3 linked regions of the Alligator mississippiensis genome follow. The protein of the gene in region 3 interacts with the protein of the main gene of each other region in a biochemical or structural test. Links are inferred from orthologs where the notes say so. Each region holds a gene or a part of one and is shown on either strand. Other genes may lie near its edges.

Region 1 (9,264 bases), on a different chromosome or scaffold from region 3:
CCCTCATCCCTTGTACAGTCTTGCTCCCCCTCCCCCCACAAGGAATCAGGTTGGCAGCAAGGCACCCCACATGACAGCATCCCACACCCCCATGTGCGTATCAGGTCAGGCATAGGGTCAAGCCCAATACAAGCCAGGGCTGGATGCTGCCTGTGGCGTCCTCCTCCCTGGGAAGAGTCCCTCCTGACTCCTCCCTATGGTAAGTAGAGGGGATTCCTAGCCAAGATGAAAGGCAGCCCCTCCCCACAACCTGCAGGCAGTATACCGCTCCTCCCCCTGGAGCCTCACCAGGCCCTTCGATGGTGACCTGGACATCTGTGATGTCCTCCTCATTGGGAAAGACCTTGATGCCCTCAGGTGGGTCTGATGTCAGCGTGGAAACCTCTTTATAGACCAGGCGGATGACATGGGGCGGCAGGTTTTCCACATTTGAGTTCTACAAGGGTGAAAACAAACAGGGGAGGTACATCAGAGACTGTACTCAGTGACCTTGCACTAGGACAACTATAAAACTTATGCCCCTCTCTTGAAGTGTCCCAAGCCATTCTTGGACACCCTTGCCATCCCACATGCCCAAGATGCCCAGCACAGAGTCCCTAAACAGGATGTGTCCATCTCTACACACTTGGCATGCACAGGGCTGCTCATCTGTGGGCATTTACTGGTAAAGGACCATGTTCCCCATGCCCTCCAGCTCCCTGCTATGCCCATGTGTGCTGCCAGTCAGGCCAAGATCCCAGAGTCAGCACCTGCTGTAAGGAGCAGAGATCCATATCACCAACTGCCTGGGAAACCAGGCCAATTGTATAGCAATTGATCAGAGTCCATGCAAGCACAGGGCCAAGCCCCATATCCATCCTGAGAGTGGCAAGTGCCTAAGTACCATGAAGCAAGACTGAAGCTCTTGGCTGTGTGGCCCGGAGGAGGTGGAGGGGTAGAAATCAACTGCAGTAGAATGCTTTCCTAGTTCTAAGTTGTCCAGACACTGGAGCAAGAGCCTGGGGAAGCCTCCCTTCCTGGAGATTTCCAGGTGGAGGATGCACAGGCATCTATTTGGGATCCAGCACCTCTGCAAGGGATTACACCAATCCTCCCTCCCCACCCCACTCCCCACCAGACCTGCTGTTCTTGCAAATCCCAGGTCCCTTGGAGTGTAATTGGTACACATCAGGCTCAATGATTCTGATCACCTTGATCAAAACCACAGCCACCCCTCCCCCACTGCAGATGACACTGGTCAACCCCCAAGCTGGACTGGGACAACACAACGGAGAAAACCAGCAAGATGCCAGACTAACTGCTGCCAAGTCCATGAGATAGTGGCAGCTGAGAACACTGGTGAGTGAGGACAGGAGGACATCCCCCCACCTGCCTGATGCCAAGGCACCCAAGTTATTTCTGGAAGGAAGCTGCAGGTAGCAGTCTCCTGCAAGCTCCCCAGGCTCAGGAAGCCTCAACTGATCTCAGCAAACGGTCTGCCTTACATCTGACACTCCCCTAAAGTCTCAGCTGAAAACTGGGGCCCTGACAAGGCTCCAGATCAGGGAAGGGGAACTCAACAGTGCAGAATGGTTCAGAATGGAGGGGGACGGGGGGTTGAAAATGGGACCAGAGCCCTGCCATCAGGCAGTCTCACTTGGACAGCCCCACACAGCTACAGGCCTGCCCCAGCAACCTAGCTCCCTCACATCTCAGTCATAACTCAGGGAGGGGGTAGAGGAAAAGGACCTATGGCTATGGACCCTAGCAAGCATCAGGTGGAAGAAGCCCCAGTACCCCCCCCATTCTCCCTCCACATCTTCCCTTACCTACCTTGTACCCCCAAATTCCACCCCCTCTTTACAACTAAGCCAGGATTCAGACTCCAAGGACTCCCAAATCCTAATCTGTTGGATCAGGTCTGTGAGAGAAACAGCCCAGCCTGTCCTCTTTGAGGAGGGAGAGTTCAGCTATCCCCCAGCCTCTGAAAAAGCATTTGGGAGAAGAAGGCAAGTCAGAAGCCCCCTTCCCACATCAAACAGGAGATTCCGGCAAAGCCAACAAAGCCTCAGCAGAGAAGTTTCGGCCAGCAGCTGCTGTTCATCCACCACAGGCCTGAGTACTGACACACTCCTGTGGTGACAGCCTGCCAACCTCCCCCCCTCCCCCACAACCTCCCCTTCCAAAACCCCCTTGTTCCCCAACCCAGGTGACCTGTGAAAATGCCAGAAGGCAAGAAAAGACTGCAGTAGAGCTAGGGGCCACTTGGAGCATCAGGAGATCTCTTAAAGAGCTCCGGCTGCACTCCATTCCCTTTTCTCTACCACTAGGCCCATAAGGGGAAGGGCCTGGCCTGGGGCTCAACCACTGGTCCCTTCCCCAACAGGAAGGAGCTGGAAGTCAGCACCATACAGAGGGGATGAATATCTCCCACTTTCCTGCCTTTTTCAACCATAAAAATACACGCACTCTAGGTGCTTGTCCCCACAACAGAGGCCTAAGACCTGGAAGAAATTAGGCCATGATGCTTCAGCTGCAGCTGGCCATTTCCAGATGCCTGAGCTTTAAAGGCCATGTAGATTTTAATAATTCAGGCCTCTTGGAAGCACCTCAAATCTTAAAACCCAGCTTTTGTTTGCAGCTGCATCTAGAAGCAAACATGCCATGAGAGTAAAATATTAATAAAATCAGGCATTACAGGCATGGACCTGGCCACTGAAAGCCCCGCTGCATGCTGATCTGACAGCCTTTCAGACGCTCGCTAACTTGCCATGTGCCCACCAAGAGTGAAAAAAGGAGTTTCATGTACATGTGCCACAAACCAACCTCCTAAAGTTTGCAAGAGCAGTGTAAAAAATCTACTAGCCCAGGCACTGGACTAAGGGGGCCACCTTCTGGGTCTCCGATTCACCTCTGAAAAACTGGACATCTCCAATCATTTTTTTTTTGGAACATCCAAAAGGAAAAAACTGCACCAAAAAAAAGATAATAAAACAGCAACTGTAGGAGCTAGGCAAGGCCTTGGAAGGAAAAACACTTCCCCAGCTACTTGCTAGAGTCTCTCTTGCAGGGGACCTGACCCCCGCCTGGACTCACAGATTACTGCACTACCCACGACCTCATTTTTACAGGGATTTGAGACATTTGAGCAGAATCCCCCACTTAGACTGCAGCAAAGTTGGGCCCAGCAGAGGAAAAAACTGGCCCCTGTGGTTTTTCTAAGCTTCACAAAACAAGAAAAAAAAGAACCAAAACAAGCAGCCAACCCACTCTATAGCCACTTTCAAGCTAGCAGTGGAACAGCAGCTTTTTAAAGGAGGCAGCCATTCTCACAGATGGAAAACAAAAAACCCGAGTCAACTTTCACCTCCAGATAAGGCCTGTTAAAGCTTCCTTAGTTTGTTTAAATGGACTCAACTTTCACCAACACCCCTTTCACCCCCAAAACCATATAAAAGGGCTGGGGTTGCTCTGTTATTGGTAAATAACGATAGCCCAGGACAGCAGATTCCCACGCCCCAAACCAAGCAGCAGACCAAGGGCTGCCAGGAACACCCCGCACCCCCCCCCCCCACACACACACACACAGAGTTACTGTTAGGCCATCCTCTGAGTCTGTATATCGAAGAGGAATCAAACACCCCAAAATGTACATGCTCCTCCCCCACACCCCAACAGCCACCAGGCCTAGCATCACATTACAGCTGCTATGACCACCACCAACACACAGGTCCCTGCTCCATAGGGCCTACCCACCTGCCCACCCCGAGAAGAGGTTAAAGTGAGGCCCCTCTTAACACGGGGGTGCAACCAGCTCCACCCACCCAAGGGCCACCCTGTAACCTGGTGGGTGGGCACTAAGGAGATGTAGAGAGAAAGGGATCGAGAGCCACTCACCATGGTGGTGGGTCTGGCTGGAAGTTGGCAGAGACCGGGGGTCCCTCACCCCCCTAGACTGACAGGCCCCCCCAAAGTGCACAGGGGCAGCCCAGCACCGTACAGAGTCCCCTGTGCACTGGGTGGGGAGAGGCAGGGTCTCCTCCCAGGCCCCCCCCTCCCCACCTGTGCCCACCAAGCCCCCCCAATCCCACTAACGCCCTCCCCCACACTGGGCTGGGCTGCCCCCTGTCCTCCACCTCGTCCGGCCCACCCTCCCCGGACAAGGCCGCCCCTTCTGGCAGCTCTCCAGCCGTCTCCCACCCTCTGCACTGAGGCTGGCGATTGCCCAGCAAAGGACTTTATAGCCTTTGGCCCCGGCCGGCCACGCCCCCTCCGAATCCCGGCCGCCCAATCAAGCCTGGTGGAACGGAGTGGGTCGCCCCCTCCCACCCCCTGTCCCCGAGAGGACGTTGACAACAAACGTCCGCGACGGGCGAAAGCCAATAGAGAGTGAGACGGGGGGCGGAGCCAGCGGGCCGATTGGAGGGATTTGAATACGAACCTCGCGAGGCGGCGGTTGAAGGGGAGGAGGGAGGCGAGAAGAGCGGAAGGGAAGGTGGGGGGAAAGCTGTTTACCCCAACGGTTGCAGGCAGGGGGCGGGGCGGAGGTTTGAAATGCTCGATCGCCAGGTGGGCGAGCCAATAGGAACGGACGAGTCCGGGGGGGGGCTCCCATTGAGGGCCGTTTCCACACAGGGGCGGGGAATAGGCCCTTGGGGGCGGAAAGGGGAGAGGGGGCGGGGAGGTACTTCCTTCACGCATGAGAATGGACAGGCTGGGCAGCCATTCAGGGATGAGGATTCGGAGCGCTCCCCCCCCTCATTGCTGTAGTTGCGGGCTCGGGAACTGGAGTGTCAGTGCAAGGGGGAGGGGAGGCGGGAACCTTAGGGTTAGCCCGGCCCCGCCCCTGGCACTGGTGCCCCGCGGGGTGTGAGCTATGAGCTTTCCTGTCCTCAGGCTGTTCCCTGGGGTGCCCCAGCTGTGGGGGCGAGTTGATTTGGGGGATGTCACCCCTTCCTGTCTGTGCATCCCACGGGGCCAGGCACGAAGGCCTGAGGGGGCAGGGCTGGAGCCCAGGGTCTGGGAAAGATACCCAAAGAGCAGGGCTGAGGATGGGGGGCACCCACACTCACAGCAGGGGAGAGTGAGGTCAGGGTTTACATTGTTTCCTTCCAGCTGTAAGCCCACAGGGTGGGCGTTTTGCTGATTCCTGTGACCTTATAGGGTTGCCAACCCTCCCAGCTTGGCCAGGAGTCTACCAAAATCGGCATAGATTTCCCAGTGACTATTGAAAGCAATCGGGGAAATTGATATTGTTAATGGTTTGAGCAGTACAATTACTGATATCATGTTGGGGAAAAAAAAATGGAATAGCTTCAGAGTTGGCAACCCTATGACCTTAGGGATTGGAGCCTGTGCCCAGGCTATGTGCATCCCAGGTGGGCCAGCTTCAGCCCGTGCTTCCACTCGCACACTATTGTGTCACCAGCCTCAGACATGCCCCACCCCAGATGGGTCTGTATCTCAGTGCCACTGTCAATGAATACGGAGGCCAGTAGCAGGAAACATCAGTTTATTCAAAAAACAGGGTTACAGCAATTCCAGGGACTTGCAGAACAGCCTCTAGTACTTGTTCAGACACGCTGTGTGTCCCTGTCCTGTGGGTCAAGCTTGGTGCCCTTCGCCTGGCCTGCTCTGTGCTCCTCTCCCACACTTGCTTTGTGGTGTGATTTTTTCTGCGTGTCAGTTCGTGTGGATTTACCTGAATTGTTTCTGACACCGGCAAATCTCTGTGCAGTGCAGGGCTGGCAGCGTGAATGTTTTCATAGCAGCACAGAGTACATGGAGGAGCTGAGGGGTCAGTGGCACCCTGTTCCATACAGTCTGGACTTGGGGAGGAAGATTGAGTGCCAGTGTGGCACCACCCCTTGCTGGTTTGTGTGGCAGTACCCCTGGTTGTGTGTGTGTGTGCAGATGCTGATCCAAACTACCCCCTGGTAGTGTGTGTGTGGCACTCCCCCCTACTATTGTGTGTGTGTGTGTGTGTGTGTGTGTGTGTGTGTGTGTGTGTGTGTGTGTGCAGATGCTGGTCCAGACTGGCTAGATTCAGATTATGTACATGTCTATGTGCTTGTTTGTGGAAACTGCCCTATACTGGCTAGATTCTTGGGTTTGTGTGCATGTGCATGAGAGTGTGCGTATGAACACTACCCCATACTGGTAGATTTAAATTGCATGCACGTTCGTGTGTTTGCATTTACACACACGTACTTGTGTGGACACTACCCTACATGAGCCTAATTCAGCCTATGCATGCAAATCCGTTTATGTGCATGCCTGAGTGTTCATATGCGTGCGTTTGTGTAGTGGGGCACTGTCCTCTGCTTGTCTAGCATAGGAATTGTCCTCCTGCCCACAGCTGACCCTGCCTTCCCAATGGCTTCTGGGAGCTGCCTCAGGGGGAGCAGGGCATTTCCAGACTCTGCTTTGCCCTGTCTAGATGAGGCAGGGGGCCACTGAGGGTGGCCATAAGCAGAGCTGTCCCTAGTGGTGTGCGGAGTCCAGGGCATATCAGCCTGTGTGGGGCCGGAGGGTCGGGGTGGTAACTGCCCGCAGTAGCCAGTGGCAGCATCACCAGTGGGGCAGGAAGGGGGATGGCAACCGCCCACAGAAGCCAGCGGCAGCAGAGGGGAGGGAGGTGGCAACCACCTGCAGAAGGCGGCAGGGCCTGTATGGCACTGCGCAGGGCCCCCCAAAACGCACGACCCAGGTTGGTCACCCTGATTTACCACCCCTGCCTTCCCCCCAGGGACGGCCCTAACCATAAGGCACGTGAGCCGATGCAGGAAAGGGGAGGAAATGATAAGTCATCCAACATCAGGGGTGAGGGATGAGAAGGGATCCCCTCAACACTGCCCACTGGGGACACCCTAGTCCCTTTTGCTTAGGCTGCAGGGGCTGCCCACTCATGGAGACCAGGGGCTGGGCAAGATGGGCCTGTGTCTCCATCCTGACCCTTGCTTTTCCACAGGCCCTGAAGGGAAGTCGAAGGTCTAGGCAACTGTGCCCAGCAAGCACCTTTGGAAGATGCAAAAAAGAGCCTGGTCCCCAGTGGGTATGAACAATCCTGATGCCCCAGCTACAGGGAGGAGGTGTTGTGGGACCAGGCAAGGGTTTCAGGAAGCACCAGGTAGGTTAGTAGAGGGTGCTGTGCTGCAGGAAAAGGGACAGGGGACTTATGCCATGGGGTGTGGAATGGGGTGGGAAGGTTGGGTGATACCTTAGAATGGGGAGTGGAACAGGGGGCTCAGCAAAGAGCACCATACTGCAGGGGGGTGTGAGCTCTTTTCTGTCATACCAGGGAAGCATGCAGTGGAGTGCAAGTGTGTATCAGCTAAACCATTTGGTCCCTGGGGCCTTTTACTGCTGGACATGTTTGGAACATTGTTGCTAAGAATTTACCTCCCTGGGATTTAGCAAACTCCTTCCCTAGTGTGGATTTGTCTGAACCCAAGGGCTTGCTCATGAAGAATGGTCTGCATGCTGTGGCCTGGGGTAAGCTCTCATGTGGATCATGCTGGCTCCCTGCCAGGCAGGAAGGCCCTTATGTGCCTTCCTGATTTAGATGCAGCAACTGCACTGGGCTTGTCAAAGGAAGAGAAGGGATAGAGGAAAGCAAAGAGCAGTTGAGTGGTAATTTGCTGTGAATGAACAGCAAGCCATGAACAGGTAGGTGCTACTGACTGGTGAACAGGAGCTAGTGACTGGTCTATGGGGGTGAGTGACTTGTGAACAAGCCATATACACTGACTGGTGAAAGGGTGTTAATAACTTGTAAATGACAAGACACCAGGGGTAACTTAAATAATGTGCTATAGAGTGCAAACATCAGCAAACAATGAGCAGTGAATAGTGAATCACATGCAATGAATGGGGAATGAGGAACAAAAGTCCCTAAAGGGCAGACAATGGCAAAGTCACAAGAAGACCTGACAGGCTCCTGAGACCACAGCCCATGGCCATCAGTGATTGTTGGAGAGTGAAAATTATCACCCAGGAATGGCATCCAACAGCCTGTCCAGCAAAGCAAATGGAGTCTCAGGCCAAACCTAATACCACTGCAATCTTGGATAGACAACTGAAACAGCCAAGAGTGATGAAGCCATGGTGGGCAGTTATAAAGACCACTAGGCATGTCTACACGTTTATTAATGCGCCGTAGTTACAGCACATTAAGTTTAGTACTTGGTTAACCCCAAGTACTAAATCAATGCTCAGTAACTTGCACTACTGCACGGTAGTGCTGGTGCACCAGTTTTTAGTGATGCTTACTGTGCAGTAGCCTACTACTACTGTGCAGTAGCATATTAGCGCAGTTTCTGCCTGGAAGGCTACTGCACAGTGTTATTAGGCTACAGCACAGTTAGCGTCTTGTATAGATACACCCAGTGAGTCAAGTAAGGAAAGGGTGGGGACTAGGAGTAGGGAACAGGGAATTGTAGTGACCACAGGATAGAAATATGATAGGAAAGAACAGTGGGTAGTGAATGATGCTTTAGGTTTGGTGAGTGGAATAAACTGTAATAGGTAAAAATGAGTGGAAGTTGCCACCTAATTAATGGTGGATGGTGACTGGAGATTCCTAATTGGTTCCTGATGAGTAGAAAGTGACAAACAATTACCAGTAATGGTAAGTACAGAATAATGAATTGTGATGTGTGAATAAATAGGATTGGATTACAAAGAGTGATTGGGTCATTCATTATACTGAGTAGTAATAGAGACTGTATAGATTATAGAAATTCCTTTTAAGAAGTGACAGATAATTATTAGTGAGTAGTGAATACTGAGCAGTGGTTGGTTCATCATAGCAAGAAATTATTAGCAAATGGCCTATAATTAATGGTAAGGACTGAATGGATTGCAACTGGTGAAAGAAAAATAGTGAGTGACAAATCATGGTTGGTTCATCAACACTTCCAGTGCCGGATCCAGGGAGAATGTGGCAGTGCAGTTACACCCCTCCTTCCACTGTGTGTCACAGGCTCAGCAAGCTCTCTGAGCTCACTAGCATGTCAGTGCAGCTTCTGCCAGCTGTGAGCTCTGAGCTCACTGGCTGGCCAGCTATAGCCTCTGCTTTCACACAGCTCCAGAGTCCAGGAGTGAGTGCCATGGCCACATGTTCCCCTCTTCCCTCATCCCTTCTTTTTCCCTGCTACTAAATTCAGTGGTGGGAGAAAGGGAGGGTAAAGAGTGGTGGAGCTCACCAATTTTTTTATTTTTTTTTTTTTAAGAAAGTTTTTCAGGTTCCAATCCAAATCAGTCAAATCAATTCCAAATCCATGA
Region 2 (10,354 bases), on a different chromosome or scaffold from region 3:
AACTCTGCAGCAGGGTTTACTGTATTAGTTTTTACAAGTACTACCCTGCTGTGAAGTTTTTTCATGAGCATCAGTGCATGTGTAGACACTGACTGGTACATAAGGATGCTTCAGTGTGGGGACTGCCTACCAGCTAGCCCCATGCTGAAGCACTCTTTCCCCACCAAGCCCTACCACAGCAAACTGAGCCTGGTCGGAGAAGCCAGGGCTACTCCAACTGGGCTCTATGAACTGTGCGTGAATAAACTCCAGAACTGACTGCCCTGGAGTTAAATGCTCTTGGGCATAAGTTTAAATGGTACACCTGGGAACAAAAAATGTGCACCACTTGCACGTACAGAACTGGATTTTTAATTGTGCAAGTAGCAGCGTGATTTAATGACATTACAGAATAGATGATTAACAAAATAATTAGGAAGTAGAGTGAACAGGACATGAGACTAAGATGGGTAGACTAAGTAGCTTCTCCACTAAAAGGCCTTTAAATGAGACTACCAAATCTACTTCATGCTTCTGTATGGCACATGCATATACACAGTTAAGAAAGGCCACCTCTTCAAAAACAGTAATTACAAGACTAAGTAGCTTCTCCACTAAAATCAAACTTCTGTCACCCACAGTCCATCTCCATTTTAACTACTTTCAAAATGATACTCAGAAGTACTTGTAAACAACTCTGATCTGAGGCTCATTTACAGAGTGAACTAGAACACAATTCCCTGTTTTGAGTTTTCACTTCAGCAGGAGAAATTTGTGGAACCACCAGATATACACATATTCTACATCATGCAGTAGTGCTACAGAGTTCAGAAGGTTTAGTCAAAAGGGCTGTTTGGGGCTTAAAAACAACCACCCCGTCCAAATAAAATTTCTGCATACCAAGTCAACTTTAGAATATTCTTCTACAATCTTCATATGCTCTTCTGGGTTATAACCATTCCAACGATCTCTCTTCCCATCATAATCAAACATCAGTTGAGGCTGTATATGTTCATCTGGAGCAATGTTCATGCTTGTGTATTTTGCTCCTACTTTCCTGGGTCTCTGAAGGGAAATAAGCAACACCTTTGCACGCTGATGGTTTTGTAAGATGAAAGTTTAGTAAATTAGATTGTGTCTAATTTCCTGTAATCCTTTCACTGCTACCTCACAGTATTATAGCATACTGACAATGGAGGGCTAAAGAAAGAGCAAAAAAAAACTCAAAAAAGGGAAATGGGATTGTAGTCTACAAAACTGGGAAGGAGACTCAGATGCAAGGTACTTTTTACTTAAAGCCCCCTGCCCCCCCCCAAAAAAAACCCCAAACAAACCCCAAAACAAAACAACACAACACAGATTCATAGTTGTAGGGTTGGAAGGGACCTAAGTAGAACTTCAAGTCCGACCCCATGCTGTGGGCAGGAGAGAATACTGGGCTCATATGACCCCAGCTAGGTAACAATCAAGCCTCCTCTTAAAGTCTTCGCATCTGCACATACTCCAACAAATAAGATTTCAAGCTGATGTCACATGAATGGATATTAATGAGTAGTTTTAAAATATTATTATTGATTTTAATAGAACCAGAGCTAAAAAAAAAGCAATACAGCAGAACATGAACTAAAATTAAAAAAGTTACCAAAAAGAACTAAACAAATGACATAGAGGTGGCAGATGAGAGTTGTTTGAGTAAAGTGATCATTTTCTTATCTGTATCTGTTTTCACACACAAGGCTTGAGCTACAAATGTCCTCAGATATACCACACATTGAAATGTCTGTTAGTCTTTTAATGGTCTTCAAACAGCATGTTGAAGAGCTGAATTTCACAAATTCGAGTGAAAGTAAAGCATCAGTTTAATTTTAGTTAAAACTTAAGTTTTAGTTTGACAAATCTAAATCGATACCCTTTCAGTAGATATTTTCCATCATAACAGAACTGAGAGGAATGCTTTCCAGAAAAACTCAGACACCAAGTTACCTCTAGGCAGTCTTTCTTGTTGTGTGTCATTGCACCACAGTTCTCACAGGCCCCTTTGCGATATCTTGTTGCTAAAGCATTCTAAACATGAAAAAGCAAACATTATGTGAATGTAAAGTAGCATGACTGACCCACGATGCCAGTACTTAGCTTTGCCTAATCAAGAAAACAAGCCTAATTAAGTAAATGAAGCACAAGTACATACACCTGTATATACAAGATGAGCTAAAGCATTTACAGCAATTTCCAAATACCACAAACTATTTTGTAGAAGTTTTCCTCCTTCTTCCCTACTTAATCATGAATGTAGAGAAACCATAAAGAAAGATGCAATAGAACATAGGTTCCCAAACTGTGGTATGCATACCCCTGGAGGTACGCAAGACACATCTGGGAGGTATACAGAAGACATTAAGTAGTGGTGGATTTAATTTTCATTATAATAATAATTAATATTTAAGGGCTTAAAATATAAAATGTATACTGCCAGGGGTATGTAGGCAGCTGGTAAATCTGGAAGGGGGGTATGTAATAAGAAAATATTTAGGAACCTCTGCACTAGAAGTGACAGACAAAATTCCATTGAATCCAATGATGTCAGAGTAAGTTCCCAAAATTTTCTTCAGAATACAAACTGAATCCACATTGTTTTGTAGTTATTTAAAGTAATTACCAATAAAAAGGCTAATGGTTTCATTTAAGTTCCTAGAAGGAAGACAGCTATACCACCAAAAACTTACATCCTTGACAGGTTTTTGTAGCGAGACAGAGGATCAAATGGCAATAAATGCTAAGCTATACTGACTGTCTAGAGCAGGCTTGTCCAACATGCAGCCCACAGGCCGCCATTAAACCCACCAAGCCATTTTATTTGGTCCAAGGCGGTGGCGGCCATGCCGCTGTGGAGTGCAGAGCCGCAGTAGCAGAGCCATGGTGAGGCAGGCAGGGCTGGCCCACGGGCCCCAGCTAGCAGCGAGGGGAGGGGAGCAGACTGCCCCACGTGGGAAGCTAAGCAGCGGCCGCTGACACTGCCAGCCTGCGCTTGCCTCCTCACCCGCCCACTTCAAGCCAGCCCCGCTGCCCTGCCATACAGCAAGGCGGTGCCTGCTCCCCCAGCCAGTCTCCCCCTGGGCACTGTGGCTCTCCGGGCCCGGCTGCCCGTGCGCGAGGCCCCGAGGGGGTCGCTTCTCATGTGCTGCTGGGGACGGGAGGAGCCCGGCTGGGTCTGCACTGGCCAGAAGCGGCGGCAGAGCCGTGTGCCACTCGGGATCGGACAGGCCTACACCGGTCAGTCCCGAGCGGCACACGGCTCTGGCGCCGCTTCTGCTGGCCGGTGCGGACCTGGCCAGCCCCCTCCCGTCCCCAGCAGCACATGGGAAGCCGGCTTCAGCTGCATGCTGCTTTTCCTGGCTGGTGCTGACCCGGTTCTGCCCAGGCGGGTCCTGCAGCACCATGTCAACCCAGGCATAGCACTGGCAGGCTGGGCAGGCCCCAAGTCAACCCCAGCCTGGCCTCGTGGCTCCTGCAGCACCAGGTCAACCCGGTTGTAGCCAAGCAGCTCCTGCAGCACCAGGTCAACCCCTGCAACTTCACTGGTGTCAAAGGTCATGTGACATCACTTCCTGATATGATACCACTTCCTGTGATGTCTTTGAATATGGCTTGCCGGCCCACTGGGTGATAAAAAGTTCATGATCCGGACCCACATTCAAAAAGGTTGGACACTCCTGGTCTAGAGAGAGACCCAGAGGTTGAGCTGAAACCTAGCTGGTGCAATAGTTAGTGAAGCAAACTTTACCCAATACTAAAGTTACCCGAAGAGTGACTGGCTACGGTGAAACATGGCTTAAAAGAAACCACCACAATTCTGTCAAGAACACATTCTGCCCTTGGTCACAGGCGTTCCACAAGCCTCACCTTTGCTACACACCAAAAAGGTTTTTACTTACCTCTTGAACCCCTCGTTTATACCAGTCTCCAGATGTGCTAAACTGCTTCTGCTTCTCTGGCTGAGGTCTCTGGTGCTTTAGCGTAGGTCGTTTTGAAGGATCTATGTACCATGGCACTGAGGAGATGTACTGAGGAATATGAGGATTGATATCTCTGAGAAAGATTTTAAAAGAAAATGTTTAGACGTACAAATAATATAAACATGAACAGGAATCTTTTTTTTAAAAGAGCATTTTTTGTATTTAGTATAAATATTTTTGTAACAGGTGGTGTAGATATTGGTCTTCTCAATACACTGAACTGGTCTATACTTACCAAATTAAACAAACCATAATTCTCTTTACTTCGATCCATTTACTTGGGCTGAAATCCAGCCTCCAACCGAGTAACTTGACTTGGTATTATGAACAACATAGGATCTTAGGGAAAGAGTTATACTCCCCCCCTTCAGCAGTGAAAAAACTGAGCATCTCCATCTGGTGAAGGAGATGGAAGTAGAGGAAAGTGAAAGAACAATCTACATTATAACAAATCTTCTATCCGACCCCCCATCCACCACTAAAATGCCACATGGCTCCATTTATTACTGGCATCTCCACTTGCCATATACCAAATAAATGTTAATTCTGTGTAAAAGGAGTCTCTACCCTTGCTGAAGAGGAAGAGGATTTGGGTCTTAAAGAATAACTCACAAAGTTGATAAGTTACACTAAGCCACTGTTAGTGTAATTTTGCATGTTTCTTGAGATTTTCTTTGGCTATCAGCAGGGAGTAGAAATGTAAATATTGTTTTAAAAATTATCTTTTTAACCTCTTCTAATTATAATGGTTAAACAGTTAACCAATAACAGAGCTGCTGCTGGGAGCCACTCCTGGGGCCTTTTGGGTGGGTAATGCAGTGGCAAGCCCAGCCAGATAACACAGCCCAAATGAAGCTCCTAGGTTGGGAGGGAGGGAACAGCACCTGTGAATGAGCAGCTCACTGCTTAGTTGATAAGTCATTAAGCTGCCTGCTGTTTTCCTTTTTAACCTCCTAGGCTAGGGTACTACTCTCCGCCTCACACCTTCCCCTCCTCCTCCCTCCCCTGCAGCCTTCCAGGTCCTGCTGGGTCACTGCGTGGCTTCCTCGCCTCCCTTTCCCTGCCAGATGGGCGCACTAAACAACCAGTAAGCTAACCAGTTGTCACCGGGCTTACCAGTTAATTATTTACCTTTTAACATCCCTAGCAGAAATATTACAATTACATCCCATCGGTAACATTGAAGCCTTAAGTAAAACTTACTTTCCTTCCTCGTCTACTTCGGCTGGTGCATTACCCAGCTTTCTCTGTTCTTCTAGCTCCTTCTTCTTCCTCCAGTCCTCTCTTGTCATCTTCTTTGGCTCTTCCAAGCCCACATCATTCGAACCTCCCGGAGGAGTAGAGGCTATTACAGCCCCAGATGCCATGGTCTTTTCCCTTGCGAACACGTACAGACGTACTGAAAAGGACAATTTCCGGCATTATGAAAACTGAACAAAATCCATTTCAACCCGTTGTTTTACATCACTGCCCTTTACCTTTATCATTTACCTTTATTCACCGCGCTTAGCGCCTTCCAGCTTCCTAGTTACAATTCCCAAGAGAGAATTTTACCCCATGGCCTGGCTGGTCTGGACTGGGGGGAGAGGCTCCCTCTGTAGTGAGGCCTGGCCCCATTTTGGGGATTTCTTGGGGCCCGGCCTGCCCCACTCCTCCATGGGGGCACGATTCCACAAATGCCAACTCCCATGAGAAAAAAAAAATCACGATTTCCAAATGAAATGAACTCGGACTCGTGATCTCCTGATGGAGAGATCAACTCCCGGGACTTTTCCTTCTGACGCGTACAGACAGCGCCGAGGCGGTAGGTCGGGGGGGGGGGGGAGCGGAGGGGACTACGGCGCGGGGGAGAGCGGGGCCGGCACTGGCGTGACCGGGGCCCCAGGGCTGGGACGAGTCACGCAACGCAGCGACGCAACCTACCTGCCGGGCCGTGTTTACCCAACTAGGACTCGGCCTCTCCCACCGTGCACCGCGCGACGGCTCTAGCTCCGCCTTTTAAAGGCGTACGACCCCTGCGAAGGGATGGAGCCTCAGCCTCCTCCCGCAGCACTCGGGGCAGGCCGATGTCTCTGACGAGGTGTCGGCGGCAGGACCCAGCGGGGTGGCGTAACTGCGCATGCGCACACACAACTTCCGGTTGATGGCCGCTTTCGTGCTGGCGGCGACACGCCCCTCCCCTGGCGGAGCGGCCTGGCAGCCAATCGGGAGTCCGAGCGTTGGGGCCCGAGCGAAGCAGCCAATGGGAGGCAAGGTTGATGTTTAAAAGCGTTCCCGCTGATTGTATTGTGTAGAGATTAGTGAGTGTGTGGGGTAGGTTGTTTGTGATCTTGGGTGGGCTTCAACCGCCGCTGCATTGCCCTGGGGTCGGGTCGGGTCGGGTCGGGTCGGGTCGGGTCGGGTCGGGTCGGGTCGGGTCGGGTCGCCCGCGGGGCCGCGCCCAAGCTCGGGCGGACGCGCTGCCCCAGTGCAGGGCACGACGCCCGGTCATGCCTCAGGCTCCGCGGGCTGGGAGCGCGGCGCCTGTCCCGGGGCGACACTCGAGAGAGCTGCAGTGCCGGCGGGGAGGGAAGCGGGTAGCTCAGCGGTCAGGCAGAAGCCCCTAAGGCGGGTGGCAGCCTGCACTGCTCCAGCGCGAGGCTGGAAGCTTTGTCAACCTTTCCACAGCCGAGACCCCCAGCCCTAGTGTGCTGCCAGGCGAGAGGTTCACTGCTGACTAAATCGGACTGCTAAAGTTTAGGGGTGCATTGATAGAGTTTTTGGGGGCTGAAATTTAAGGGGGTATAGTGGTTGATACCAGTCTGATTTCTGATACAGCTGTCTCCAGGTGGTAAGTCCAGTGTGGTGGAAGGAGAGGAGCGTGCAAGGGGCAGATCAGAGCCCTTTGATGAGGGAGGAAGCAGGTGGGGGCAGGGGTGGGGGAGGTGCAGGATGAAGCCACGGCTTGTGGGGTGGGGGTGGCTCCTGCTGCTGCTTGCACTTCTTGAGGGGTGTGCCCCTAGATCTGCACAGTATGGGGCAGGCCACTGCTGTGGTATAGATGGCAGCTGGTATGGGGCAGGTGGCAGCTGGCACTGCATGGGACTCTTCTCAGTAGGGCCCTGGGCTTGGAGCAGGCTCCGGCAGTGCTGGGAAGAAGCTGAAGTCACCCCAAACTTTGCTGTGGCTCTGCTCCCAGCCCTGTGCCACCACCTGGCAGAGCCCTGGCTGAATGCCTCAGTTCCACCCAAGTGCTGGGAAAAGCCATGGTTGGGCTGGGTGGCAGCCCAGGACTGGGAGCAGAGCCATGGCAGGAGCTGCCCCCACCTCTGAGCTGTGCCTCTGTCCCATGTCCCCTTCCCTGCCCTGGCTGGGCCACACCTGCCCCCTCCCTTGCTGAAGGGGGCATTGATCTGTGTGGGCCCCCCCACCCCCAACACCCCTTCCTTCCCACTTCCCTTTCTGACTTGGCAGCTGGAGGCAGCTCTCCACACTGCCAGCTCTGCTCCGTGCTGTGGCTGCATGCAGCATGGGCATATATCAGCCCCATAAGGCTGATATCCAGTAGACAATTTTCTTCATGTTGGTACCAATCCAATATTGGACCAATGTATTGGTGCATCTCTACTAAAATTGAGTCAATTGCTTGTGACTTCCTAACTGAAAGCAGAAGGGACTTTAGCAGTTCAGTGCGTGTAACTAAGCAGCCTAGCTCAGTGGCTGTCAGCTGGGGTTATGCACACCCCTAGGAGTACTTAAAATATTCTAGACCTAGTGTGACTGAAAAATGCCACGTGCACACACAGAGCTGCAGCACAGCACATAGGTGGCCAAGAGAACAGCCAGTTCTGGCTGGTAAATATGTTGTGAGGGAATGGGCTGGGAGAAGGGGCAGATCGAGGCCCCAGTGGTGGGGGTGGGAGAGGAGCTGGGGTGGGATGCTAGACTGAGCTACATGGGAGCAGCTCCCATCTCTGCATGCACCCCAAGAGTGCATGGGGCAGGGGGACATGTGCCCCTGGATCTGTGTAGGTAGGGTGGGATGCTGCTACGGGCTGGGGTCAGGGTTGTGCTGGGCTGTTCTTGGCAGGGGCTGGGCTAGACTGTTCTGGTCAGGTGGTGGCAGTGCTGGGAGGGGCTGCAGCCACCCCAAAACTTGCCATAGCCCCCTTCTGCTGCTGCTGCCACCACCCACCCCCAGCACAGCCTGGTGCCAGTCCCACCCCATGTGCAGATCTGGGGACACGTGCCCTCCCAGGGGTGCACATAGTGGTGGGACCTGGGGTGAAGCATGGGATGGAGCTGCAGCTTCCCCAGGGGGAGGGTGTGGCAGCTCCTGCTACTGCGTGCACCTTGGGAGGGCATGGGGGTGTGTCCCTGGAGCTGCGCAATGTGGGACAGGATGCTGCTGTTGGGCTGTTCCTGGCAGGGCCTATGTTGGGCCATGCTCAGGGCAGGTGCCATCAAGTTGCAATGTATTTATATATAAACCTTTTTGAGTAGTACTCTTAAACAATATGGAGGTAAGAAGACCCAAGTCAACTTTCCAGAAAGATGGTATAACTGTGTAGATGCAATTTTCTTTTTTTTTTTTTTTTTTTGTCATGAGAGTATCTTCCAATGTACTTCTATATTAGCACTTTCATCATGCAGGTCTCAATTGTTGCATTTCTTGAACTGGGAGGAGGTATTATTATATTCTCATGTAGCTTTCTCTTATTTTTAAGTTGTTTCCATGATCTGAACATGGCAACCCTTATATTCATAGACCAGGAGAATGGAGAAGCTGGTGCTACTTCTAAGGATCGACTAAGATTGCCTTCAACTTGTGAGTGTGCACTTTTGCCTTTAAAAATTGAACATTTTAAAATAAACCAGGAATGTGCCTGGCTTGCTATTTCTGGCATGGGAGGTGTGGGAATTCTGAGTAATATAAGCAAACATGTAGACTCTTGTTGGAACCTGTTTTCATTGTTCTTCTGAGACCCTTTTCTCCTTCAAAGGCTTCCAGGGGGCTTTATCTTTTTACAGGCAGCCTTACTCTATTTGTGGGAGTGGAGTGACAAGGAAATAATTCTCCAAGGTTAAAACTTTATCCCTATGTAGAAGTCTTTTTTAACTGTAACTAGTTCCTCCTTCCTAGGCAGAAAGTACTGAAATGGCTCATAGTGGTATTTGCGAAGCATGTAAAGAATCTTAAAACTTTTCTCTGCAGCAGGAAAAGTTCTGTCTGAAAGGTCACAGGTGCAGACTCCCCATGTTAGAAAAACAATTAATGCAACTCCAGTCGCATCTAAGTCTCTCAGAAAGGCTCTAGGAGATGTGAACAGGACTCTGCAATCCACAAAAAAGAAGGAAACTTTAAAAACACAAAAGCAGCTTGTGACTAAGGTAAGTGCATGAGTCCTTAGCAGGAAGTAGATCCTTAAGTATGCTTAAGTCTCTGGTCCAAGGGATTAGGACAAGAGAGAAACATGTTTAGATATTGCTGCCCCCCCCATGTAGATGCAGGGGACAACATCCTTGCTGGCAGCCAGGTTGGGAAGAGTGACCCAAGAAGTCTGAGATCATGATCCACATGATATTTCTGACCTATGTAAAATGAGGTTGTCTTGTCCTATGACTCCACATATATTACTGGGGTCATATTACTGAACATAATCTTACAGCAAACTAGCAACCAAATTGACCACTGCCCTTGCCTTTTGATATATATTGGAGTTCCATAGCTGTGTGCATGAGCACAAACCCCTTGTCCAGTTTGCCTTTTAAAGTCATTACTTAAGAACCTAGCTAGTATCCCTTCAACTAATATATATTTTATTTTTATTTATTTATTTACAGAGTACTACTGAAAAGACCACTGAAGTGGGAAGTTGCAATGCAGTACCTGAAGAAACCTACCCAGAAATTGAAAACTTGTTTACCTACAACCCTCTAGGTAGGAACTCAGTAACACTAAGCTATCTGTCATTAATCTTAAATTGCCTAAAGTATATGCCTTGACTTTAAAGTAAAACAAGGTTAGCCTCAAAATCCAAGCCTTCAAATTATGTCCAATCTCTCTAAGGGCAGTGACCTGGATACCCTATGACCAGGTAGATGATGGACACTGCAGCTTTCACTTAAATACGTTATTTTCTCACATAACCCACACCTCTCTCTATCCCCCTCCCCCCCAAAACCAAACAAAAACCTAGCTGGGGAAGATAAAGGTGCACAGTATGTGAGGGGAAAGCCTCCCCATGGGTCTGGGAGGGGTGGGCTGAGGGGAAGGTTGAGACTTGGCCCCAGCAGTGTCAGTCTTAATTGTTGTGGGGGTTAGACCCAATATGCTCAGTCTGGGACTACAAGCTGGTACTGGGACAATGTACTGCGTCATA
Region 3 (10,002 bases):
CTTTGTTGTGGTAGTACAGCCCTGGCTACTTCCCTACCATCCACCCCAAGATGTGCATGCCAAGCAAAATGCCTTCACAAGCCACACTGGCACATGTGCTGGGGGCTGCCTACCCCTGGGTTAGATAATCTAATGGTGCTTTCTGGCTTTAAACAGAAATGCAGAGCTTTCGCTATCTCTTCTACCAGCCACTGGGGATCCTGGATGATCAGACAAGGCCTTTTCCAAATAAGCTGATATGAAAATAAGCCTCTTTAACTTGCAACTGAAGTGGGCACATGTTGCCTTAGTGACAGTCCCTAGTCAGTGTGGGGCTTACCTCCTGGAACTCGTTCAGAAAAGAGCGCTCGTATTCACCCCTGCATCTCCGCTCCATCCTCTCCTCAATCATCTTGTGCAGGATAGTTGTCACAGCATCAGAACTCACCCTTTCCAACAGGTTCAGCCTGTGGCTGCAGATATAGAGAGGGGGCTTCGTTTACAGCACACAGAGAAAAGCACAAAGCAAATGCCTAATAATGGAGCCTGGGAAGAAGGGAAGATGATCCCCACCTAGAAGAGGGTAAAATTGTGTGTCTACTTCAGGGCAACCGTCATGGTGTACATTTCTAGCTGGATCACCTGGCTTCTAGTCTGTGAAGAGAATTGGTTTTTCTCAGTCAGCAGGATGGCTATTTGGGGAGGATTGTCATCCAATAGGAAGCAAAAATAAAAATGAGGCAACTGGACCCAAATTTATATCATCAATAATTAATCAGCTAGGACTAATTAAAGAGCATAAGCATTTTGCAAGATCTAGGCAGGAAAGAAACTCCTTTCCAAAAACTTACAAACACACTGCTTTTTCAAAGATTTTTCAAGCAGTGCAGAGGAAGTAAGGAGTCATAGCTTTAAACATTTCATTTATTTCTAACATATGATATTGTAAAGAGCTAAATGTTTAACAGTTCCAGGTACATTTTAATTTCGGCTATTTGTGTTACGTGTTCATAGCACATGCTACTATTGGGCCCCAGATTGCAGCTATGCAAGAAGGAAAAAAAACCTAGGAGTCAAACATCACCTGCAAAGCAAGTGCATAAACAGGTTTACTCTTTAGGAGTAATCTTCAGGACATACAAAATCATAAGCCATTGCTTCCAGTCCATGCTGATGGATTGGAGAACTGGAGAGATAGCTCTCACCCCTCAAGTAAAGAGAGGAGGGCTAGATTTTCAGCAAAGGGACTATCTGGAGCTTGTATAAAGTTGATATAAAAAATAAAAAGCCAGAGGTTTTAAACAGAATAGGAATCCCTGAACCTTTCCAGAGTTCAGGATCCACTTTTGCTTGCTGTTTTATATCCAGGGATCCTGGTTTTCCCCAATAAAAAAACCTGCAAATTGTCTGATAAAAAACCCGCAAAATTTCTTATTAAAACTCCATGATTAAAATGAAAGGGCACTAATAGAGAGAGAGAGAGAGAGAGCGAGAGAGAGGTATCAGTTGAACACAATACTTTCTTGATAATATTTATCATTTAAAGGAATTTGGAAGCCTACCTGTGCCTCAATCATTATAATTAAATAAGTTCTAAACACCTATAAATTTTGGTATTTGATTTTGGGTTATCATGGAAAATCAGAGCTCCCTCTGCCCCCTTAGCTCACAGAACACAGGTCCAGGTCCCTCACTCCCAAGCCACAGCCCCCCCAGCCCTGCTGGTGCTCCTCAATGCTCACCCACAGCCCGCTGGACCTTGCCAGTGCCCCTCACTCCTCCGCACAGCTCCCCCAGCCCTGCTGGTGTCCCTCACCCCCCACCCACAGCCCCCTGCCCCCCTAGCCATACCAGAGTGGGCCCCCAGCTGGCAGGGTTACAGGGCCAGGGGTCCAGGTCCGCAGCGCTCTGCCCCTTGCAGCAGCTCCACAGCCCCAGCTGCCACCCACAGGAGGTGGCAGCTGCTGCAGCGGAGTGAAGCGGAGCACACCCCCTCCCCTGCCAGCTGTGGGCTTGGGTGGGGCCAGCTACCCATCGCTGCGCTCACTCGTGCCCCCTGATCTGTGCATGGCGCAGGGATGGGCTGCCTGCTGCGGGCTTGGGCTCCCCACCCTACTGCCCCCCCCCAGGCTCTCCGCAGCCCAGCAGGTGTGACCCAGTGTGGCAAAAAAGAGCGGGGCTACACACGGAAGCTCACTGCTGCTGCAAGCTCTGGGCTGCCCTGGCAAGGCACCCCCTGCCTGCATGGCAGCAACGAGGGCAGTGGTGTAGGGTTGTACCCCTCTTTGCTGCCATGTGGGCAGGGGATGCCTTGCCAGGGCAGTGTGGAGCTCTCAGCAGCAACGAACTTCCCCACGAGGCCCTGCTCTGCCCTGCCCTGCCCTGCTGGATCACACCCACCAGGCTGTGGAGGTCCCAGGGGAGGGCAGCAGGGTGGGGAACCCAAGCCCACAGCAGGCAGCCCGCCCCTGCCCAAATCCCCTACCCTGAGCACAGATCTGGGGGGTATGGGAGCCTCCTGTCTTGCAAGGAGCGCGCACAGTGGTGGGGAGCTGGCCCCACCCCCTGAACGAAGTGCCCACAGGCCCTGTCCCGCTTCTCGCCAGGGCCCTGAAGCTGCGCGTTCTGACCCCAGGCCACACACCCCACACACCCTCCTGGCTGGGCAACAGCTTCAGCCCCAGCCTCACCCCCACCCAACTCCCCCCTTCCCTATGGGGGCTTCAATCCCCCTCCGCTCTTCCCTGCCCCTGCTGCTGCCAGACCTACCTGCAGAGCAGCTCTCCAGGCTGCCTGGTGGCCATGTGTGTATACATACACATGACACCCCCTGCCTGAGCACCCTCCTGCTGCTCCCCCCAGCCCCTTGCAGGCTGGAACTCTACCAGCCTGCAGAGAGCTCTTTGCAAAAGTGCAAAATCTGTGGGTTTCTCCATTAAAATGAAAAATCCATGTTTTCCTTGGGTAAAGGGGGAAACTGCATTTTTCTGTTTTTCCATGGGAAACGGAAAACCCGGATCCCTGGTTATATTCACACGAGCTCTCCAGTTGCTTGTAATATCCTCTAGCTAACACACTGCAGATAAGAACTGCTTTCTAATGGAAAAACAAGCAAATATTTTCTAAACTCCTGTTCAGGCCTTATGTAGTGCCTCTTACATATCATCCTTAAGGTCCCAACAGAAGCATTAACGAGGCCACACTACACACGCAGGGTATGTGTGCACTATTTAGTACCTTGAAATTTGGCCAACTTCTTCAAGATCTTTAGTAGGCAAACGTGGACCCTTCTGGATCCCAGTGTATGCGCAAGAGGTCACAAGGACCTTCAATGCATTTGGCTACAAGTATGGAGAAGTGGGGGGGTGCCCAGACCTTCTATTCCCCCTTTAGCCCATTGAGACAGTATCCAAAGGCCAGACAGTATGGACATTTGGTGCCTCGACAGCTGTAGTTATAGGTGCATCCAAGAATCAAATCCAGGTCTCTCATGTGGCAGACAAGGATTCAACCACTGAACCACAACAGCAGGTTCAAGATCTTTAGCATCTGGGGAAAAGAAAATATTTCGCCTAGAATCATTGTCCCCAAAGGGAATACAAGCCTAAAGGGAGGTGATAATCTCACAGCAGTTACCAGGACCACTCTCCTGTTTGTCAAAGATCTGCTGTAGCTCAGCCACAGGTTATGGGCTAGATGCAGAAATCACTGGGCAAGATTTTCTGGACAATGCCTTGCAAGAAGCAGACTAGGTTAGGATGGACCTTTCTGACTTTCATACCCATGACAGGCCTGTAGACAGTCTACTTTCTAAATGGTATATTGATTCTGTCCAACAAATCCCTTTCCTCCCTCCCTCCAGGATACATACAGGATCTCACTGAGCTGCTGAAATTGCTCCATGGCTGTGGGACACCAGCACTGGTCTTTCTTACTGTTGCAGCCTGCACACTGCTGGCTGTCTCCTCCTCCCTCTTCTGTATCACTCTCTTGATCATTTTCACTCATACTGCTCTCACACTCATTCATTCCATCTTCTCCTTTCTTCCACTGCTGCATATATATCCTGAAGGTGCGGCTGTAGAACTGCTGGATCATCTCCTGGAAGGTCTTTGTAGTGGAGAAGAAGAGGATGGCTTTAAACATGGTGTACACTTTCTCTCGTAGCATCTGGGAACCCGTTCCAAGGAGCAAGCCTGCTTTGGTCCATTTTTCCAGAAGATCTAGACTGTTTAGATAAGGGTCTAGGCGGCACTTGAGCAGACAAAAAGCATCCAGGAGGAGTAAGGAGCACTGGGGCTCCTCAGCTGTGTTTTCATACTGGCCAATGCAGTTCCAGAATTCAGGAGCTATATTTGTCTGAAGATCTGTCTGTAAAACTTGAATGAACCATTCCTCTATGACACAGTGCAAGTCATAGCTCCGCAGCACTTCCAAAGCGGCCTGCAAGTCGCTGTCCTTCAGCGGTTCCACTGGTCCAGACCTGGGTGCTGCCTAGAGAGAGACACCAAGGTAAACGAAAGCAGGGACTCCTGAAGGGTGACTGAGGCTGGAGAGACAACCGGACTCAGGGGGCAGTCTACAGATGGAGCCACTCACCAGCCGACCCTTTGCTCTTGTCCACAGTAGGGCATAGCAGGGACTGAAAGCTACCAACTAACTGGCATCCGGCATCCCTCCTGGGCAGAGGGGCGGAGGTCTCAGCCCCACTCCTAATGGGTCGCTGTTCACATCACAAGGGCGACTGCTGTTGTGGTATTAATGCCGACTGCATCCCCAGCTGACATGGGAGCCGTGACCCGAACGGGCCCCGCTCCATCCCCTCTGCGGGTCACGGGCCACTGCCAGGCTCTCTCCAGCCTGAGCCAGCACACGAGGATGTCCTGCGCCAGGGCCGTCAGGGCGAGGCCTTCCACGGCATCGCTGCACTTCGAGGGCGATTACAGAGCACAAGGAGTGGGGCACCCTCCTTACGTACCCGTGAGCAGGAGGCCGGAACGGCGGCCACGTCGGAGACGACCGCGCGCGCACCTGCTACGCGCCCCCCTCGCGCCCCCGCGGAAATCCCGTGACAAATGTCAACGCTGGGAGCTGTGACTTGCCGCAAGGGGCCTTTTCCTAAGACATCCCCAGGCCCCAAGAGACTGCGCCCCCCCGCCCCCTCGAGGCCTGCGGGCCCGCTCGCCCCTCTCTGGGAGCCGGGGCATCGCCCCACAGCCGCCCGGCGGGGCTCAAAACAAAACCCCCGAGACCAGGCGCGGGGAAGGAGCGGGGCTGCGCTCCGCCGCCCCCCGGCCCGCACTCACCAGCCCCAGCGCGGCGGGCGGCACGAGGCCGGCGCCCAGCGCGTGCCAGCCCGCCGAGAGCCCCGCGCCGGGGGCCGCCGCCGCCATGGGCCGAGCGGAGCGGGGCGGGACGGGGCGGGGCGGCGCGGGCGCAGGAGGCCGTTGGTGGCGCGGGGCCGGGGCCGGGGCCGGGGCGGCGATGGCGCAGCAGGGGGCGGCGCTGCAGAGCTACAACAACGAGCTGGTCAAGTGTGAGGGCCGGGTGCGGGGCTGGGGCTGGGGCCGGGGCGCGGCGCGGCGGTGGCGGGGGCCGCGGGCGCTGAGCGCCGTGCCCCCCGTGTGGCGCAGGCATCGAGGAGCTGTGCGCGCGGCGGGACGAGCTGGGCCGGCAGATCGCGCGCGAGGAGGAGGAGAAGGGCAAGCTGCAGAGCGACATCCGGCTGCTGACCGAGCGCCTGGCCCGCCTCAACGAGGGGCTGGCCCGCAAGATGGCCACGCGCAACGAGTTCGAGCGCACCATCGCCGAGACCGAGGCGGCCTACGGCAAGGTAGCGCCTCGGCCCCGCGGGGCGCGGGAAACCGCCCTGAGCCGGCTGCAAACACGCCTCCTCCTGCAGAAGCGGCACCTGGGGACTTTCCCTTTGCAGCCCGCCCCGCACGCCGGGGTCCCGGCCTGGGGAGAGGGCGCCGGGTCGGGACGGGCCACTGATGTTTACAAATGGGGCCTGGTACAAAAAAGGTTGAGAAGCACCGTGATATTCTGGGGGGGCTGCAGCATGTAGTTTTGGGGCCCCCCCATCCGTGGGAAAATCACAGCTGCGGTAGAAACTGGCTGAAATGAAATGGGCCGGGCTGCGAGGTGGGTGCGGGGGGCTGGGGCGGGAGTGGGGCTGGGCGGGGAAGGGGCTCCCTGCCTGCATGGAGCCCTTTCAGGGTGGCGCAGGCGGCAAGCGGGCACGGCCCCTTGGCCGCAGGGTAGGACAGGCCGGCCTGGAGAGCCGCTGCTCTAGAGTAGTGCGGGGCCAACCTTTCTTATGCCGCAGATTAGCCCCGTGCCCTCCCTGGGTGTCACTGATCCCCTTTCCCTGCCCTATCTGCAGCTCTGCCTTCTGCTCCCTGCCCTTTGCTCCCAGTGCCCAGTCTCTTCCTCTGCTTTCAGCCAGCTCTCTGCTTTGTGATCCCAGTCTGATCTGCTCCCTGCTCCATCTACTGCTGTGCTGCCTGACCCCTCCGCCGGCACAGGCCGCACAAAGGATGCCCATGCAACTTGCAGTACTCGTGCCGTAGGTTGGCCACCCCCGCTGTAGATAGCCATAATTCGGCACACTGTCAAGAAGAGCTGGCAGCAGCAAGTGTAGCTGTGCATCCCTTCTTTAGCCTTGTGCACCAAATGGCTCAGTCAGCTAAAGGGTACTTGGGCATCTTGTAATGGACAGGGCTTAGAGGAGGATCTTGTGAGCTCACCCTAGGGAGTGCTGTCTCACAACTGTGAATGTAGAGAGTCAATTCTTGAAGACCCACAGTTACCAGGAATTAATGGTTCTGTCTAGCCCAGGGTACAAGCATGGATCATGGTCAATAATAAGGGTTGTGAAGGAAATCAAAATAGTGGAGGAAGAAGAAACTTGAACTTGTCTTCACTGCTGTGGGATTTTGTGCTGGGGTCTGTCTTTCTCTCTATGTTTGCCTCGCCCCTCTCCCAGTGGCCTTCCAGGCACGACTCTTAGTAGCTTACCCATTCTTAATCTCTTATCTCCTCTGAGCCTTCCCCTCTTTAGATGAGGACTACTGATCATAGTGACCTTCACTGTGCTCAAGGCAGCATTATGGCTTCAGAGAGCATTTGCTGCTGATTGTCCTAGATCAGTGTTTCTCACTCTGTTGGTTGTGACCCAAAAGTTGGTCACAAGACTATATAAAAGGGTTGTGAACAAACTTTAAAAATTGATCAACAAACTTAAAAAATGGATTCTCTTTTAGAGGAGAAAAACGTGGAAAACCGAGGCTCTTCCCTTGCAGACTGGCAGAGTTCCAGCTTCCAAGGGGCTACTTAGGGGCCCCCATGCCCCACGTACTGGGGGCCTGGGGGTGGGGGGCAGTGGGTTGGGCCTGGCCATTGATGTTTACAAATGGGTCCTTGTCCAAAAAAGGTAGAGAACCACTGTCCTAGATCACAAGGGACAAAGAGCTTTGGGAGGAGTAAGCTCTGTGTTGTCCCCAGGGGAACCCTTAAGGCTGTTGCGTTGTCATGGCAGAAGCGCTGCCTTGCATTGTTTCTCCAGTGTTGCCATGTTTGAGTTATGGGAAGACTGGAAGGGTGTGAAAAGCTCATGGCACTTGCAGTTGTCACGGCACAATCATGTTGTGGCTTGTGTGTGAACTGTGCTTTAGTCCCTTAGTACTTAGTGTATGAGTGTAACGAATGGAGCTTGGAAAAACTATGTAGCAGGGCAAGGAGACATTTCCCTTTCCAGATATGTGGGTTGTGGGGCAAAGAGGATAGTGTCTGCAGAAAGTGGGTCAAGCAGGTACTGCTACTCTGGCAGGAAGGAGGGATAAGTAAACTGCAAAATCCCATGGGGGTCCAAGACCCATGCAGCTGCCAGATACAAGTTTATTTATGTAGAAATTAAAAAACAGGTCTCACTGGCAAGCCATGAAAGAGCATTCGTTATTGGCCATTAGGCCTGTGTGAAGTGGCCAGCATTCGCTTCGGATTTGGCCAATTCGGGGGACAGTGTTTCGATTTGGTGATTTGAATCACTGTCCCGAATTGATTTGCCCGAAATCGATTCAGAGATTTGGCTCCTGTCAAATCTCTGAATGGCCCAGGCCCATCCCCTGTCCGCTCTCCCAGCCCACCCCAGCTCCCGGCATTTTGAAAAAAAAGAAGCCCCGACTCAGCAGGTGCTGCCAGTTGGGGAAGCAATCCCCACTGCTCCCCACTGCCCCGTGGGGGGCTCTGCACGAAACCTCTGCCCCCCTTTGCCCCCCAGCTTCCCTGTGGCTGCTCTACTCGCTGTGGTTCTGGCCCTTTAAGAAGAAAAAAAAAAATGAGAAAAACCCCAGACTCACCTTCCTGCTGGCGGGGCAATCCCTGCTGCCCTATGCCACGTGGGGGGGCTCTTCCAAGGAGATTTGGAGAGCTTTGAATTGATTCAGACCTTTAATGTTAATTGGTCCCCTGATTCAATTCAGATTCAGTGATTGGGCCACTGAATCGGGCCAAATCTCCTCTGAATCAAATCACCACCCGAAGCTTTGCACAGCCCTATTGGCCACGGTGGGAACTGGCTGAATGTGTACTAGCCCAGTGCTGTGCCTAACAGATCTAATGCAAGCCTTAGCCATATGTTCCTGTGAAAGCTGAGTTGAGGTAGAGATGGTATTGCCCTTGTGTACAGCATCAGTGAGACAACTACTGAGTATTGCCTCCTCCGTACCAAGAAAAAAATGTCCACGTACAGGAAAGTCATCAGAAGAGAGTTACAAGAATGATCCAAGCTCTGGAAATCCTAGCTTGCAAAAGACTAAGGAACTTATAATAAAGAGAAAAGTGAGAGAGAACTTGAGACAAAATATCTGGCTAGGGAAAAGATTTAGCAGAGTGCCCTTCACTGGAGCAGACAAGGCGGAACATAATCCAAAAGCCTGGTACACTTTTTTTAGTAGTGAGAGTACTTAGCAGCTGACCATGGGATGTGACAGATTCTGTCACTTGGCATCCTTAAATCAAGGATTTGTGCATCTTTCTAAAAAACCTCCTGTTCATCCCCTTGTTGCTGGTTTAATGCAGGAGTCACAGGGGGAGGTTCTCCGGTAGGAAGCCACAATGGTCCCTCCCAGCCTTAACATCTGTGAATATTAATAAATGGCCATTGCAATCATTCCATTTGACTTCCTCCAAAACACAGGCAAAATAACCCTTCCCTAACAATTCCAGCATCAAACCACTAGCTTGCTCTTCCTAGAAGTTTTAAAGACTGCAGTGGTAGAAAATTCCTCTTGACTATAAAGGACTCAGTTGAATGGTTAATTTAAGAGCAGCCTGTGATGAGAGAGTTTGTGTAGGAGGTAAGTAACTTCTTTTTCTTTCCCCCTTAGATCCTGGAAAGTTCCCAGACACTGCTAAATGTCCTAAAGAAGGAAGCGGGGAATCTGAGCAGAGCCACAGAGCCAAAAGGCAGTGTTGTAAAAGAGAGCTGAGCACATGGACTCACACATTCCTAAAGTCTCTCTCTTCTTGGACTGAGAGGAGCTGCTATCATTTTGGTATATGTAGAGGAAACAATGTCCAGTAAAATCTTCATTTTGCACAAGTGTGTTTTCCTTTCAGAAGGGCCTTGGCACAAGGTGAAGAAAAGTAAAATTTGACCTTCACTTAGCAAAGGTCAGTAGCAAATGCCATTAGAGTTCAGCCAGAATGCCAAGCAGCAGCTGTGCACAGCCCAGCCTGAGGGAGAAAGGAAACTCAGCAATTTAGTGCTTTCCCCTTCTGAGAGAAAGATGCTTCATTTTGGCAAGAGCAGTTTGAAGCCTATATGCTTACCCAATGTAGAGAAGAGCTCATCTCCCAGGAGCCAGTGTAGTGCAGTAGCACTCATTAGGAAACAAGGTGCAGAAACCTGGTCCTTGTGCTGTTTGTAGTCAACTCTGCCAAGGGAGCAGTAGAGCAGATAGAAAGGACTTCTTTGTACAGGAGTGGTTTATCTCCATGGAAGTGCCTGCCTGGCTGGGT

Evidence for each region.
Region 1: the proteins of ANAPC2 (region 3) and UBE2S form a complex in vitro, tested with the Homo sapiens proteins (3 studies listed by BioGRID and IntAct). The link is inferred for Alligator mississippiensis from reciprocal best matches to the Homo sapiens genes ANAPC2 and UBE2S.
Region 2: the proteins of ANAPC2 (region 3) and PTTG1 form a complex in vitro, tested with the Homo sapiens proteins (2 studies listed by BioGRID, with this or other methods). The link is inferred for Alligator mississippiensis from reciprocal best matches to the Homo sapiens genes ANAPC2 and PTTG1.

The regions. Positions count from the first base shown.
Region 1 is NC_081828.1:74,781,565-74,790,828, forward strand, and holds the start of UBE2S (ubiquitin-conjugating enzyme E2 S), read right to left. Parts: upstream 4,043-9,264; 5' UTR 3,880-4,042; coding exon 3,877-3,879; intron 437-3,876; coding exon 289-436; intron 1-288. UniProt on the Homo sapiens protein: Accepts ubiquitin from the E1 complex and catalyzes its covalent attachment to other proteins. Catalyzes 'Lys-11'-linked polyubiquitination.
Region 2 is NC_081832.1:59,019,904-59,030,257, reverse strand, and holds the start of PTTG1 (securin), read left to right. Parts: upstream 1-6,159; 5' UTR 6,160-6,241; exon of another isoform or gene 6,242-6,305; intron 6,306-6,563; exon of another isoform or gene 6,564-6,822; intron 6,823-8,698; 5' UTR 8,699-8,717; coding exon 8,718-8,799; intron 8,800-9,186; coding exon 9,187-9,362; intron 9,363-9,815; coding exon 9,816-9,912; intron 9,913-10,354. Other genes in the region: pre-mRNA-splicing factor SLU7, read right to left, coding at 880-1,044, 1,963-2,043, 3,912-4,065, 5,196-5,359. UniProt on the Homo sapiens protein: Regulatory protein, which plays a central role in chromosome stability, in the p53/TP53 pathway, and DNA repair. Probably acts by blocking the action of key proteins.
Region 3 is NC_081835.1:47,568,183-47,578,184, forward strand, and holds the start of ANAPC2 (anaphase-promoting complex subunit 2), read right to left. Parts: upstream 5,389-10,002; 5' UTR 5,373-5,388; coding exon 5,286-5,372; intron 4,474-5,285; coding exon 3,851-4,473; intron 453-3,850; coding exon 320-452; intron 1-319. Other genes in the region: microtubule nucleation factor SSNA1, read left to right, coding at 5,464-5,515, 5,613-5,812, 9,369-9,470. UniProt on the Homo sapiens protein: Together with the RING-H2 protein ANAPC11, constitutes the catalytic component of the anaphase promoting complex/cyclosome (APC/C), a cell cycle-regulated E3 ubiquitin ligase that controls progression through mitosis and the G1 phase of the cell cycle.